Drosophila melanogaster: one gene and its partner. The gene in region 1 interacts genetically with each later gene. Each region holds a gene or a part of one and is shown on either strand. Other genes may lie near its edges.

Region 1 (8,837 bases):
CGCCCATCTTATCGTCGCCCCCGGAGCTGTTCATGCTTATCTCCATTCCGGAGCTGTTTAGACCGTTCGGACCGCTCGATATGTCCGCCAGGCTAAGAGCACCGCTGCTGCTGGGTCCTGGACCCACGCCGCCGCCCTGTCCTCCACTGCCACCCACCGGAGGCATCTGGTGGTAGATTGGGTGGTTTGGGTCGGCCAGGTCGAAGATCGGCTGAATGACCTCGGACTTGAAGACGTTGTTTTTCTGCCACAGGTTCAGTACCCGGATGATGCGACTCTTGTCCTCCGGAGCGCACCGGAACAAGTTGGCAAAGGTCTCCGTGAGATTACGCTGGAATCGGGGCGCGAACAGATCCTTGTCCATACCGTACTGGTGGCGCGACTGGCGCACTATCGAGTCGATTACATACAGCCCGGGTACTTTGTACTCCGGCTTGCACTTCAAGATGAACTTCTCCACACTCTGGACGACGTGCTTATACAGCTTGATGGCCCGCATCGCCGACTTGGTGATGGCGGCCATCTTCGCTTTGGAAATGGGCGGTCGGCTGTCATAGAGTCCGGAGAGCTAAGGAGAAATATAGATGTTACAGTACGGCTATAGTTTACGGATATCTGGGACATGGAGTTATCGTTATCGGGTGCTGGCCAAAAAGCAACCCTGAGCGGTGCTGTTCGGTGCTCTGCCTGCGCCTCCAGCAGGATCTGTATACCTCCCGCACATTGGACAATCCGAATACCGACTTCAAGCGGACATTGTGCAACCACGCCGGCTGCTCCATAACGAACCTCGTTTCTAATGCATCTATAGCTTACCTCATTGTTGAAGGCAACCACGGTTTCCATGTTCAATTGCTTGGTTCACTCACGGCACGCACACACAATATTTAGTTTTGCATACTTTGGTTGGTCAACACAATCGTTTAAAACTGGCGAAAAACAATTTTCTCGACCTTTCTGCGGTTTCCACGGCTTTTAAAAAAACTTTTTACAAAGCGTGAAAAAAATGGCTGCCCTAAAGCCTGAAGCGTTGCCAGACCTGTAAAGTTGACATTTTCAAGGCATTTCTGGAAATTGTGCTGTTAATGGCAGTGTGACCGTATGTGGTGCATAACGTTTCGGTATTAAAAAATTTTCCAAATATTTATAAAAAATAAAACGAAATAGAATTTTCATTATGGAATCCAAAAGTTTCATATAAAAAAATAATGACAACAAAATAAAAATGACCTTAAATAAATTTAAATGAAATCAAATCTTCTTAAATGTACTACCTTTTAAAAATAATCGCTATCGGCGGTGTCGATCTTTTTAGCATTGTGTCGATGACAATACATCTGGCAACACTGGTCAATATTAAACATATATTAAACAAATTAAAATGAGCTCAAACCACCGTCCTCTGGACGATTCGGATATCCTCCTAATACAAACCATCCGCGAGACGCCGTCGCTGTACGATCCCCAGCTGCCCTCCTTTCGGCTGTCGCAGCGCAAAGAGGAGGACTGGGCAAAAGTGGCGGATTTGCTAAACATCTCCATCTCAGACGCTCGGCGACGGTGGACGTGTCTGCGGGATCGCTATTCGCGGGAGCTTAAGCAGAAGCGCCTGCATCCGTCCGGCGAGTTTGGTCACAATGACTTCTTTCGGAAGATGGACTTCCTGCGGGACTTTGTGCGCAAGAGACGCGAGCGCAGAGGACGCGAACGGGATCGGGAACAAAAGCCAACCGGGTGGATGAAGGTTGATTTACAGCGACGGCGTCGTACCCGCCTGCCTATTGACACAGAGACCTTGATCGAGGAGCAAGGTTCGCACGCCTACGATGAGGGCGAGGAGCAACACGACTACGACGCTAAGCTGGAGTCTCATACCACACAATCGGAGACGTATTCGGTGGTCGTGGAGGCGGACGATGGGCAGGAGCCCGAACAGGAGAGCTTCGATGAGTTCCTGGGGGATGCGGAGTGCGAGCAAAAGGTCAAGGTGGTCACAATTCATCCGGAAATCGCTGCTCCGAATGCGACGTCCGCACCTGAGCCTATTGAGTCTAACCACGCGGATCTGAACTACTTGGTCTGTATGCCGCCCAATGCGAATCAGGAGCGAGAGCATTCCGCCCCAGAATTACCCAATCCCACGGCCGTCATCACCCAAAAGACTTGCGAAACAGAGGACGACTTCTTTTGCAAGTCGATTGCCGCGTATTTGCGCCAACTGTCGCGCGTGCACAAGATCAAGGCCAAGGTGGAGATGTACCAGATTCTAGAGAAGTACATACTGCTCGAGGAGTGCGGAAAGGGGTCGGGTGCGGGCGGATCAGGCTAAGCAGGTTGCATGCAATATGTACATAGGTTTTAACATAGTTTTTTAATGCAGTACAAATATACAAAGAGACGAAAATCTTTTGAGCTTAATCTAACTTTGTGCTTAGGAAAAAATGGAGTCTTAGCAGAAGTCCTCGTTGATTATGTTGGCATCTACGGCCAGGCCTCGTTCCTTTAGTGCCTTGGATACTAGGCGGTGTTTCTCCTGCCGCTGCTCCTGTTCCCTACGCTGGGCGTCCAGGATTTCATCGACGGATATCTCTTTGAGTGGCAGTTTCTGCTCCTTTTCACGGTCCTTTTACGCATATTTAAAGGGTGTTAATCAGTCATATTGAAAAAGTATCGAGTAAAGCTTACTATTTCGCCCAGTAGCACCACATTCTCCCCGCGAATGATGAAGACTCCGCGAGGAATGTCGCCGTATTCGTTGCCCACATGTATCCGCTCGATGGTGCGTTGCAGCACCAGGTTGGCGAACTGGTCCACGGACCGCAGGTATCCAATCAGAGTCCGTCCGTCTCTCAAAAGTACCATCAGTTTCTCTGCAATGCGCCGGTTTTCAACGACTGGCCTTCCTTTCATTCGGATTTACTCACTGTCAACCTCTTCCAGGAGGTGAGCCGTGCCCGCCAGCGGATTTAAGTCGTCCATGCTATGAAAATATGTGGGATTTAGATAAATAAATAAACTGAAGCAACTAAACTTTGGTCTAAATTTTAGTATTTAATATTAATGTAACCCTCGCTGAAGGGTTTAAAAAACCACAATGCTCTAGAAAAAAATACTAAAAATATTACTACACTGTTCAACGAAACTTATAAGATATTGCTTACTGAAATTGATGTTTTTAGTTTTAAAATGCATAGATATTAAATAGTTATTATTAATTTTCAAACAGTTAAAAATAAGATTTCTGCTCTAACATCAAATATTTTTACGCTGTTCACAGAGTTACAAAATAAAAAGAAGTTGACCAAAAAAATATCAAAACTTGTACTCAATCCATGCAAATTTTTCACAGCCCCATCGATAACGATGGTACAAATTCTATACCTCGATAGTACCATCGATAGTTTGCCGGCACAGGGAATTGTGAATTATCCCGGAATAGGCGAATAATGAAGTAAGTGGCAGAACGGGATAAATGAAAGTACTCCTTTAACAACCCAGTCCACAGGCTCAGCGTGGACGGCCTGTTGGTGTACTTTCCGTACGAGTACATCTACCCGGAACAATATGCCTACATGCTGGAACTTAAGCGTAGCCTGGACGCCAAGGGCCACTGCCTGTTGGAGATGCCCTCGGGAACGGGCAAGACGGCCACGCTGCTCTCCCTGATCGTTGCCTACATGGTGGAGCATCCGGAAACGGTGCGCAAGCTCATCTACTGCTCGCGTACTGTTCCGGAGATCGAGAAAGTGATCGCCGAGCTGCAGAACCTGATGGTTTACTACGAGCGCCACTGCCCCAATCCACCACCCTTCACCGGTCTGGTGCTCAGCTCTAGGAAGAACATGTGCATCCATCCGGAGGTCAGTAAGGAGCGCGAGGGCAAGGCCGTGGACGGTAAATGTTACGGACTCACTGCCAGCTACATTCGCGAACGGCACGAGATGGACACCGAGACGCCCATTTGTAAGACTATTGTTATCCATATGTAACCATTATTTCAACTGCGAACTTGTAGGCCAGTACTTTGAGGGATTTAGCCTGGAAGGCAAGGAGTCCACATTGCCGGTCGGCGTCTACAGCATCGATGATCTTAAGGAATACGGTCGGTCGCGCAACTGGTGTCCCTACTTTTTGGCTCGCTATGCTGTGAGTTTTTTCGTTTGAAAATTTCAAGACTAGATTTGACTATATCTTGCATTCTTTACCAGATTGCCCATGCTCACATTGTGGTATACAGTTACCACTATCTATTAGATCCGAAAATTGCCCAGGTGGTATCTAAGGAAATGAGCCGCGAGTCCTGTGTGGTCTTTGATGAGGCGCACAACATCGACAACGTTTGCATCGATTCGATGAGTGTGAAGATCAACAGACGCACCGTGGAGCGAAGCACGAATGCTTTGAACCATCTAACTAAACTGGTTCAGGAGTAAGTTGTTCAGGATATGCGACTGGTTTATGGCCAAAAAAAACATTCTTAATCTACAGCATTCGCGAAGAGGACACAAATCGTCTGAACGAGGAGTATCAGCGCATGGTGCAGGGTCTGAAGGATGCCAGTGTGCAGCGCGACACGGACATGATCCTGGCCAATCCGGTCCTGCCAAACGATGTCCTAACCGAGGTGGTGCCCGGAAATATTAGGAACGCCGATCATTTCCTTAGCTTTCTGCGTCGATTCATCGAGTATATAAAGACAAGACTGCGCGTTCATCATGTCGTTCAGGAGTCACCTGCGGGCTTCCTTAAGGATATTTCCTCCAAGATTTGTATAGAGAGAAAGCCTCTGCGTTTTTGTGCTGAGCGCCTGTCCAGTCTGCTGCGCACGCTTGAGATCAGTGATTTGACGGAGTATGGAGCCCTTACACTGGTGAGCTTTCAAATTCCATACAAGGTAAAAGCGATATTAATGCTCTTTCTATTTTCAGATTACACACTTTGCCACCCTGGTGTCCACCTACACAAAGGGCTTCACAATCATTATAGAACCCTTCGACGATAAAACGCCGACTGTTTCGAATCCCATTTTGCACTTTAGTTGCCTAGACTCTTCCATTGCCATGGCTCCGGTATTTTCGAGATTTCAAACCGTGGTCATCACTTCTGGCACATTGTCACCCATGGACATGTACCCGAAGATACTCGATTTCGATCCAGTGGTGATGAGCAGCTTTACCATGACACTAGCCCGTCCGTGTCTTCTTCCTATGGTAGTTAATCTATATAATCCAACAATCAGTCATCACAATTATCTGAATGTTTATTCCAAACAGATTGTATCGAAGGGCAACGACCAGGTGACCATTTCGTCCAAGTTCGAGACGCGAGAAGACACCGCCGTCATTCGAAACTATGGCCAGCTTTTGGTGGAGGTGGCAAAGACAGTGCCCGACGGTATTGTATGCTTCTTCACCTCCTATTTGTACTTGGAGTCTGTGGTGGCCTCTTGGTATGATCAGGGAATCGTCGATACCCTGCTTCGCTACAAGCTTCTATTCATTGAGACTCAGGACAATGCCGAGACCAGCTACGCCCTGATGAACTATGTTAAGGTAATATACATATATGCTTTCAATTCTTAGAAAACCACGACTGGATTGCTATGGCTTCTAACCAAATGTTCTTGACACAGCAGCCTCGCTCTCATTATGATCCGCTCCCTTGGTGGTTGGATCATGTTCAGACCACTAGTTCGCAGGGTTATCTAATATTACTTGAATTATTTGACATTTTTTCGACAAAAATCCAATGAGCATTTGGATAAGCATGCATGTGCAACCAGTCTCACCGCAATGATGTTCCCATTTTGTGGTTTTTAAATGTTATGTTTGCTCACAGAACGGATATTTATCCCCTTCGCTTGTTCGCAAAGTTGACTAACCCCAATCAACCCTCCCATTTCGACTTGCAGGCCTGCGATTGTGGTCGTGGAGCAGTGCTGTTGGCTGTGGCGCGTGGCAAGGTCTCCGAGGGTGTGGATTTCGACCATCATTATGGTCGCGCGGTGCTCATGTTCGGCATCCCCTACGTGTACACGCAGTCGCGTATTCTGAAGGCCCGGTTGGACTACCTGCGGGATCAGTTTCAGATACGTGAGAATGACTTCCTGACCTTCGACGCCATGCGTCATGCTGCCCAGTGCGTGGGTCGTGCACTGCGCGGCAAGACGGACTACGGCATCATGATCTTCGCGGACAAGCGCTTTTCGCGCCACGACAAGAGGTCGCGTTTGCCCAAGTGGATCCAAGAGCATCTGGTGGACAGCTTCTGCAACCTGAGCACGGAGGAGGCCGTCCAGCTGGCCCGTCGTTGGCTGCGGCGCATGGCGCAACCGTTCACACGTGAGGACCAGCTGGGCATCTCGCTGCTGACCCTCGCCCAGCTGGAGAACATGGAGCAGGAGAAGCTGGAGCGGCAGGCTCAGGGCAAGCAGGGCGTTGGCGGCGAGGTGCAGGAGCTGTGAGATGTGGAAGGTGCTCTGCCAACCGGCTCTTTGTCGACTGCCTTCCGGGAATAACTCAACACAGCACAAGCCGTCAGCTAATGACATTGAATGCCATTAAATGCGGATCACAACGGCGATGCTGGAAAATTTAAAAGTAAAATTTTTTGTTTTTCGGCTGCCATGCAAATCGAACGTAAATGTCCAATTAATGGCTAATTAATATTATTTATAATTTCGCGGGCATGACTAACTTAACTGGCCGCTCAAGGCGGCGAAAGGGCGCAAGCGCAGCGCGAGTTTTGCTCTTGCAGTTGTATTTGTATCTATACCTGTGATTGTATCCGGATTTGTTGAGCTGCAAATTTAGAACTAAGCGATCGTGAAGTACACTAGCACACAAAGTATGCTAACACAATGTAAAATAAAGTAAATATTTCTTTAAATATACTAGGTGTTTTAGTTCAACTCCAAACTTATGAATACTTTAACCGAATCCTAAAATCTAGGACACCTAGCTTACCAGAAGAATCATGATTTTATAGAGTAACTTTGATGATTGGCATATAATATAGTGCGGCTGTGGAAAAATATGGTTCGTTGCATGCAATCGAACTGCATTTTAGTCATAATAATTGATGATGCGCCTTCCTGGCTGGATGCCCGCCGTAATTCAATTTCAGGGGCTCGCAAACGGGCTCCAAATGAACCGCGATGACCGAACAAATTTCTGACATGCACGATTTAGCCTGAAAATGGCATTGTTGTTGTAAAACGAACGCTATCGCCTCATAATTGCCAATGACCCGTTTACGATGCCGTCCAGTCGCAGCGGGGTTATCAAATTGAAATTATTGTCAAGCCGGGGTCCAAAGCCAGGCACCAACGTTTCCTTAATGGCCGTGTTTTCTTCTTATCACTTTTGCCTTTCTTAATTGTTATATTTTGGAAATACATATGTTTACTCTGTCAGAAGTTATGCCAATAAAGTATCCAAAATGCTTGACCGCCAAACAAGTAACCAAATTCTGTTTCGATTTCCTGGAGTCCTCGGACCAATCAGCTGTCGAGCTTAAAACGGAGCCGAGAGCCAAAAGCTCCAAAGCCCAAAGTGCCCCCACAATAGCCGGAGAGCAATTACAGTTAACGCAAAATGATAAAACTGTCGAGCATTGCTCGCCCTCTCTCTCTCTCTCTCTCTCTCGCGGCAGAACTTTCGATTTTTCATAATAAAAAGGTTACAACTAAATCTCAGGCGGTTTAGTCGGCAGATAAATTCGGAGCGAGCGCGCCAAATACAAAAGTCCGCCACGCGTTCAGAGCCCCAATCTCAAGTCCCATAGTTCAAACAGTTCCGAGCCCGTGTCCTCGCAGAGTCCACCAATCCCAGCCAAACATCAACTCCAATCAATCGAACATGAAGCCCCAGACAAGCGAGCAAAATGGCAGTGGCCAAAATGGCGAGGGTGCCGCAGATGCCGTGGCCGTTGCCACGATCCCCACGGGCGAAGCCTCCGCCGCCTCCGCCACGTCCGGCACCGATCTAACGGTCTCCAAAAACAGCCAGCAGCTGAAACTGGAAATGCTCAACTTGGAGCTGGCCAGCAATGGAAGCGGTGAGTTCTCCGGAAGAATGCCACAAACGGGAACTCTTCCTGGTTTGAGAAAAGTGCGTATACGCATAGTGGGATTGTTTTGATGAAGTCAAAATAAATTGGTTGTTAATTAGTTGGTGTAGAAATTCGGTTTCCATTCCAGGCTATAAATTAGTATCTCCCACTTAAGGGACTTTTTGCTTTGTGATTTGAAATCCATATCTTGGATGATTAATTGTCCACAAGTGCACTAGCATCTTTCCATTTCGAAGTTCTTGGAATATAGTTAGTAACGTTTGGTGATCTTCGTCAAGAAGGGGTTTATCCAGAAGCCTACTAAAGTTTGGTAATACCACAAACATGATTCATCCTTATCTGTTTCTGTTACCATTTCATTTCTTCTGAATGCCCGCACAATTTGGTTGAAGAATTCAAAGCTAACCCTTGATAGCCAGTAAACCCGATCTAGTTTCCGGGTAATACAACCCCTTGAACTGGCTAACATCGCGCGCAATGCAATCTGGCTGCCATATTGCATCAGTCATAGGTTAGTTGGGCCGCGATTGAAATTCAATCAAATGCGCATAATGCGAAGATTCCGATTTCCGGCGATGCTGGGCCTCATAAATCCGAGAACATAAACCACAGAGATTCGAGAGCCACGATTTCTGTCCCATATGCAAACCACACGCAGTGCCGGATATCGAGAGTAACTCTTGTTGTGTCCATACCAAACAAAAAAAAATAATAATAATAAAAAAAAAAAAATAAGAGAGCTACTAGCTGTGGCACTGACTGGG
Region 2 (7,494 bases), on another chromosome or scaffold:
AGTTACTTTGTGCCAGTAGTGCTAGAAATTACTTTGTAATTCAAATTTTAGTCATTCGGTAGTGTTCTGATTAAATTAAATCTTTATATGCACGTTAACGATCTAGATAACTCGTTTACACAAAACCTCTTGGGCAATTTTGAATGGCGTTGACAAGATGTTATGACTAAGTCCTTTGTTTGTCATAACCGTCACCATTCGCATTCATTGGCATGGTAGTTGACAGTATCTGGAGGTGGTGATAGGAATGTCTTACCATGCTCCACTTGCCCTTGCGTAGCGGATCCGCGGTGGCCTTCAGCTGGCGGGCGAGCAGCCCCTGGAGGCCCTCATAGTAGATGCAGGCTGAGTCGTAGTTGCCCGTCAGAGCCATGTCCCGTGCTAATTTGGCATTCTCGCATATTTCTTCAAACGTAGTCTTGGCCATTACGGTCATTCCTACGCAAGTGGTTGTCTTTTGCTTGCCACCTCGCAGTAACTGGCGATCGGAACAGGTTGTCGTCATTGTAGCCAAAAACGAGAGACAGAGATTAGTTCCAATTAAAGCGCTCGAGTGCGTGAGTTTCTCCAAGTGTTGCTGGGTGGGAAGGGGAACAATAGAACGGAAGCGACTTCGTCATTCGCTGGCTCGCCTTGCAGGTAAAAATGGAAAGTGCGCCTCCCAGCCAGAAGCGAATAAAGTGGAAAACCCGGCGACAATTGCGAATAATAGAAGATGCCAGTGGCAACGACCCAAGTGAGCTGCTAATTATAAATTATCAGGCGCACAGCCGCCGACTTGTCACCAAATTTAAACGCAACGCGCTCCGATTTTCAATTCCGCCTCCAAGGCGGGACGTGGGCCAAATGCCGATTGGAAAATGTATTAGGTAGTTATGAGCCGAATAAGGCGTTCGACCTTGTTGGCTTTGAATGATTCTTTCAACTCGACTCAAATCGTCGTATGCAAAAAAAAAAAAAAAAACAAAAAACACAATAGTAAAAACAACAAAATTAACGCTCGCACACACACACGCACACTCAGCTCAGGTTTCAGCGGCACACAACACACACTTTCGCACACACGCACACGGGCGCACAATGGGTCGAATTAATGCGATCTAAATAGAATTTGAGTTAATTGCAAGCCTCTGGACACAGCAAACTGCACTTTGCATTCGACACTTCACCGTATTTCTTATTCTTATGCTTCTTATTTTATTTCCAGCTATGTGGGGGCGTCTGCAGCTGCAGCAACCACAAGAGCAACAACAACAGCAGCGCTGACGTCTCGCCGCCGCACACCTACAATTGCAGCTGAGCAGTTCGCGGGCGACTTACGGTTATGGACATTAGTGTACTAGCTTTGTTACGCGGCGTTCCGAGCGCAAAATGAATGCGTAAACTATTTAATTCAGAGTTTAAGGTGCTGCGGTAGCTAAAATAAACTGCTGCCTGCCTGTGTTTGTAATACTAGTGATGTGCGTGCTCTGGTGATGCGGGGCTTATCGATACATCGGCGCGGACACTTGACCACCCTGTTGCGTTCCCTGTGTGCAACAGTCGGCGACTATCGATTGTTTCCAGAGCTGCTAAAAATATATTTCTAAATTTACAACGAATTACAAGAAAATAAAAAGAAAATCTCCGTATCGTGTCTATCGATTATAAATCAATATACAATATGTAAGTATATTTTCCAGTTCTAGAATTTGTCTCCGAGCCACACATTACCATCCCTGAGCGCCACTGCAATAAAAGCTATATTAATCGCTAAAACATTTGCACTACTGTAACACCAGTCTGGCATCGCTGTGATATAGATAAGGCCAGTACGACAAGTCATCGGTTATCGGTTCTTAACATTTCGGCTTAACGTGCTTAAACTCATTTAAATTTAGACACCACTCAAGCGACGGTGCCGCAATGACAACGCCCACGCGCGCCACCCTGGAAAAGGCTCTGAAAAGCGACCAGAAGCTTGTGAATTCCGCCACACAGATAGCCAAGGGCAGGTTTACACCCGCATCCGTGTCGAATGTGCCCTTCTCATAGAGATTCTTTGTTTCCTCCAGATCTGACCGCCAAGGCATATGACATATCTGCTCTGGCCGAGGCACTGGGCTTCGCCCTGTCCTCTCCGGACATGGAGGAGCGTGTGGCCGGAACCAACTTGCTCTCCGCCGTGTTGATAGCACTGCCCCAGGATCTGCTGCAAGAGCGGCAGCTGGAGTTCCTCAGCACCTTTTACATGGACCGCCTGCGCGACCATCACAACGTAATGCCAGCCATTATCGATGGAATCGACGCCCTGGTTCACATGAAAGCTCTACCGCGCGCCCAGATTCCCCAGATTCTGCAGTCATTCTTCGAGCACACCACCTGCCAGTCGCAGACGCGGAGCGACCGCACCAAGCTGTTCCACATTTTCCAGTACTTGACGGAAAACTTCCAGGACGGTGAGCCCTGATTTCATTTTAGCATGAAAGATACATTGACATTGCTTTAATCCGATTTAAACAAGTCAGTGTGCAAAAAAGTTATAATTAGATGATTTTAACTAGTCGAACAGATATTTGCGACAATCTTAGTACCTTTTATTTCCGTTATTTTTAGAAAATATTACACAATATTACAACTCAAACAAATCAATTTTCTTCCCGATACAGAGCTGCAAGCGATGGCCGGTGACTTCGTCTACGGCCTGATCAATTCCATTGACGGCGAGCGTGACCCCCGCAACCTTGACATCATTTTCAGCTTCATGCCCGAGTTCTTGTCAACGTATCCGCTGCTGCATTTGGCCGAAGAGATGTTTGAGATCTTTGCGTGTTACTTTCCAATCGACTTTAATCCCAGCAAGCAGGATCCAGCGGCCATAACCCGTGATGAATTGTCCAAGAAGTTGACTAACTGCCTGGTAGCCAACAACGAATTCGCTGAGGGCACAGTGGTACTGGCCATAGAAAAGCTGGAGAGTGAGTTGCTGGTTGCCAAACTGGACTCCATAGAACTGCTGGCAAGAAAACGTAACATTTTGAAATGCCTCTTTTTATACATGCTATTTATTGTTACAGCACCAAGCTGCCGTGAAGTTCCCGCCTTCCGTTCTGGAGCCGCACTTCGATCAGATATGGCAGGCTCTGAAAACAGAGACTTTTCCAGGAAATGACAATGAGGAGATACTGAAAGCTTCCCTTAAGGCGTTGTCTGCGCTCCTGGAGAGAGCTGCTCACATACCGGATATAAGCCACAGCTACCAGAGCTCTATTCTGGGCGTAATTCTACCGCATCTCAGCGATGTCAATCAGCGGCTCTTCCATCCTGCCACCGGGATCGCCTTAGTTTGTGTATCGGGAGATGCGCCCTATGCAGCGGACAAAATCCTCAACAGCTTTTTGCTCAAGCTGCAGGCCGCAGATGCTAGTTCTGAGCAGCGGATCAAGATCTATTACATAGTTAGCCAAGTCTATAAGCTATCTGCGTTGCGTGGCTCTCTCCAGAAATTGGACACCACGATACGCGAGTCTGTGCAGGACGATGTAATCGCCTCCCTACGCCTAATTGAACAGGAAGAGTTCGATGCCAAGAAGGAGGACTTGGAGTTGCAGAAGGCGGCCCTTTCGGTGCTTAACGAAAGTGCTCCTCTTCTCAACGAGAAACAACGCGCTTTAATTTACAAAGCTCTGGTTCAGCTTGTCAGCCATCCGTCCATCGACATCGATTTCACCACACTGACGGTTAGCCTTGGAGCCCTGCAACCGGTGGAGGTGCAGTCAAATTTCATTGATGTTTGCGTGCGAAATTTCGAGATTTTCTCCACATTTGTCAAACGAAAGATATACACAAATTTATTGCCGCTCATGCCTCAAATAGCGTTCACTCAACGCATTCTAGATTTGGTTATGACACAGACGTTTAACGATACTACTGCAGAGCCCGTCCGTTTATTGGCTCTGGAAGCATTAAACAAACTGCTCCTGCTAGCGGATCAGCGCTTTATCGTGGACGTGCAGCAGGAGTCCAATCTTCTTCACAAGCTCATCGAACTGGGCCAGAAGACCGAGGGTCTGTCTATGCAGTCGCTAGAACAGATTGCGGGCGCTTTAAGTCGTATCACGCAACAGCTCCCGCTCTCCGAACAAAGCGCTATAGTAAGCGAGTATCTTCCTGGACTCAATCTGAGTCAATCGGCTGATTTGTACATTACCAAGGGCCTGCTGGGCTACCTTCATAAAGACATAACCCTGGATGACCACTTCGAGCGGCTTCTGACCGATTTGACGCAGCTTTCGCTTAATTCGGACAACGAACAGTTGCGTGTAATCGCTCACCACCTGCTCTGTAGCATGGTCAACAAGATGGAGTCGAACCCAGCTAATCTAAGGAAGGTCAAAAAAATCACGGAGCAACTGAAGGTGGCTATTAAAAAGGGCGATGTTCGGGCGGTGGAGATCCTTGCATGGGTGGGGAAGGGCCTAGTAGTCGCAGGATTCGATGAGGCTGCCGATGTTGTTGGTGATGTATGTACTAGTATAGCCATTTTAGTTCTCTAGTTCTTATTCGTGAAATAATATTGTCTCATTAAAGCTCTCGGATCTACTAAAACATCCCAGTTTGAGCACTGCCGCTGCCTTGGGATTCGACATCATTGCCGCCGAGTACCCAGAATTGGATTTGCCTGTCGTTAAATTCCTCTACAAGCAGAAGCTTTTCCACACTATCATGGGAAAAATGGGCAGCAAACTTGCCAACTACTGTGTGCACCACTTGAAGGCTTTTGTCTACGTACTGAAAGCCACGCCACAGGCGGTTATTAAGCTAAACATTGAGCAGCTCGGTCCGCTGCTTTTCAAGAGCTTGGAGGAGCACAACGAGGCGCAGTCGCTGTGCATTGCATTGGGCATCTGTGAAAAGTTTGTGGCGCAGCAGGACACGTATTTCCAAGGGCATTTGGCCCACCTCATACCCAGCTGTCTGGAGCTGTCGAAATACAAGGCTCAGCATACCATGGTAAGTTAAACATGCACATATTATTATAAAGATTTGATAGTTAATTGAGGAGGTTTCTTAACTTGTAAAGGAAAATGTCGAACACAAAACTTAAACTCATTTTCTTTCTTATAGCAAGTGCGAATTGCGGCGCTGCAGCTGCTCTACGATGTGACAAAGTATCCTACCTTCGTCCTGTTGCCCCACAAAGTCGATGTTACTCTGGCCCTGGCCGCCGCCTTGGATGATCCCAAGCGTCTGGTGCGGAACACAGCGGTGAAGGCCAGGAATGCGTGGTACCTGGTCGGTGCGCCTAGTCCGAATTAGCAGAGAAACAACTCCGTTCTTGTTAATATTATAATCCAATAAGCACACGCACAAATTCTTCATAATTTTCTTGTTGTTTTTATTAGGGTGCGTTGAAGAATTTTTGATAAAGAATTTGGAAAAAGCAAAATTATAAAGTAAACGCGAAATTGTATGCATTTTATATTACTTAGATACATTTACGAACGTTTATGCGCAAATGTATTAAAGTTTAAGATGTTAAGAAAGAAATGCTTATTTCTTTTCTTAAAGGCACCTTTTTCTGTTTTATGACTTGAGACTCTTACAGTCGGTTACTAAAATTTGTATTTTTAAACTGTACGTGTTTATCAATACCAACTGGTAACCAATCTGAAGTGTCTGTTCAGTATGGGTGTTCGCACTGGGAACGGGCCATAAGAGCGCACTTTTGTGCACGCTGCACCACCTCGGGACATCGACGTCGTCTCATAAAGCGGCAGTCTTGAAAGAATCCCTCGTTTCTGGGAAAGCCGTGCGTGAAGTCCTGGAACGTCAGCAATCCCAGGCCCCAGATCTTGCCGCCTCGAAACTCGCCCTCGTACTTCATTCCATCGGCTCTCCAGAAGATCCCATTACCATGAAACCAGCCCTGATGAAACTCGCCTTCGTATCTGTCTTAAAAATGTGCAAAATGAATCATCATATACAATTTTCTTCACTGGATGCAAACCCTAGGTAAATTATAGCTAAACCATTTCTGATCAAGAATATATATACTAGCATTTCCTCTTACTCCCCGAGTAGTGGCTACAAGAATAGTTTTCAAGTGCTACAATATTTCGTTTAGGTTTACATCACTAATATTATTGAAACTGACTTTGCTCCATCCGCGAACCAGAGGCAGCCCACTCCTTGACTAAGACCCTCCTGGAACTGCCCATCGTAGCGGGTGCCATCGGCGAACTGCAGATGCCCGATGCCGTGCTTTTGGCCACGCTGGTTCCACTCGCCGATGTAGCGACTGGCGTCCTCGTATCGCCATCCGCCCACTTTGACCGCCCCTGCGCTGTACTGGCTTTGACCCTGGCCCTGTTGGTGGTGTCCATGCTGACCCTGCTGGTGGGGGTGCTGTTGGTGCTGGTTCTCGATTCGGGCCGTGGTCACGCCCACGCTGCTCACTGGGTAATGATTTTTACGCAATTTTGTATCTGCATCCTTTTGTCTGTGTTCACTTACTGTCATCATCGTAGTCGTCCATGGCCATTGCTCCGCTACCGCCCGCGATGCGCTTCAAGCTGCTACTGAGCTGGCTGGTTCTGCACCAGAAACACTCATTTTCTATGGCTTCCCACGGTGCGACGGCCCTGGTCTAAATCTAATTAACATATTGCACTTCTACACACTGACAAAGTGTTTGAAAATCAATCATCAAAATCACTGGGTCAAATGTTCCAGTAATTGAAGCAGTTATAAATATTTCTTAACAGCCAATAATACTCTGGCACCCATATTTAATCAAACCATTTTAATCGAATAATTTGAATACATCTCACATAAATTCAACATTTTTCTTGATCCAACCAACCATCAATCTTGACCAACTGTTGCTGCGGCCAGAGCTGTCATGGATTCAATAATAAACCCAACCAGGTTTTAATTCTTGTACAATTTATTGTTATTTTCAATTAAAGCGGAATATGTGGATGCAGACTTTTTCGTGAGATTACAGATGTCTGAAATGATTATACTATATAGGCGAAGCTTTGAAACTCAACGACTCCTTATCGTGACGGTTGAAGAACATGGAAACAGAATTAATTGTACACAAAGTTACTGGCTAAATTATTAACCTAGATATAGTCGTATGCTTGTATATAATTGGACTCAAAGCAAGTCTAGGCCAGCACAGCCGAAGTGGCCATTTCGCTGACGCCGCAAGTGTTGTCACCACGATAAACGCGATAATAGCCCTGCTCTCCCCAGCGCGGACCCCACGAGTTCTTCACAATCCAGTAGGGCAAGGTCTTGTGGAAATTGGGATAGTCGGAGACGCCATACCCCACAACTAGAACACCGTGGTCGAGGTTTTTCTTGGAGCACAGGGCCTTCCACGGATGGGAAACTCCGCCGCGATAGAACTGCATAGCATTCGCATTGATGCCTAGAGAAATGATCTGGTTAAGTGGGCTTTGGGGTTAATTTTCTGCATCGACTTACCGATCGAAATGGGACCAT

What was found. Genes that interact genetically often act in the same process or in processes that back each other up.
Region 2: of Xpd (region 1) and Mms19, changing one suppresses a phenotype caused by changing the other (phenotypic suppression), as found in Drosophila melanogaster (one study listed by BioGRID).

Annotation. Positions count from the first base shown.
Region 1 is NT_033778.4:21,167,616-21,176,452, forward strand, and holds Xpd (xeroderma pigmentosum D), read left to right. Parts: upstream 1-3,385; 5' UTR 3,386-3,446; coding exon 3,447-3,451; intron 3,452-3,505; coding exon 3,506-3,963; intron 3,964-4,015; coding exon 4,016-4,146; intron 4,147-4,208; coding exon 4,209-4,429; intron 4,430-4,488; coding exon 4,489-4,870; intron 4,871-4,928; coding exon 4,929-5,210; intron 5,211-5,273; coding exon 5,274-5,552; intron 5,553-5,911; coding exon 5,912-6,463; 3' UTR 6,464-6,889; downstream 6,890-8,837. Other genes in the region: Isha (insulator su(Hw) mRNA adaptor), read right to left, coding at 1-568, 817-846; hng1 (hinge1), read left to right, coding at 1,382-2,329; LSm1 (uncharacterized protein), read right to left, coding at 2,450-2,623, 2,686-2,870, 2,925-2,979.
Region 2 is NT_033777.3:5,230,737-5,238,230, forward strand, and holds Mms19 (Mms19), read left to right. Parts: upstream 1-1,806; 5' UTR 1,807-1,905; coding exon 1,906-1,990; intron 1,991-2,054; coding exon 2,055-2,438; intron 2,439-2,648; coding exon 2,649-2,998; intron 2,999-3,056; coding exon 3,057-4,502; intron 4,503-4,569; coding exon 4,570-4,992; intron 4,993-5,106; coding exon 5,107-5,298; 3' UTR 5,299-5,552; downstream 5,553-7,494. Other genes in the region: Kat60 (katanin 60), read right to left, coding at 257-577, 1,321-1,332; rtp (retinophilin), read right to left, coding at 5,663-5,930, 6,137-6,437, 6,496-6,523; CtsF (cathepsin F), read right to left, coding at 7,155-7,420, 7,477-7,494. UniProt on the Drosophila melanogaster protein: Key component of the cytosolic iron-sulfur protein assembly (CIA) complex, a multiprotein complex that mediates the incorporation of iron-sulfur cluster into apoproteins specifically involved in DNA metabolism and genomic integrity.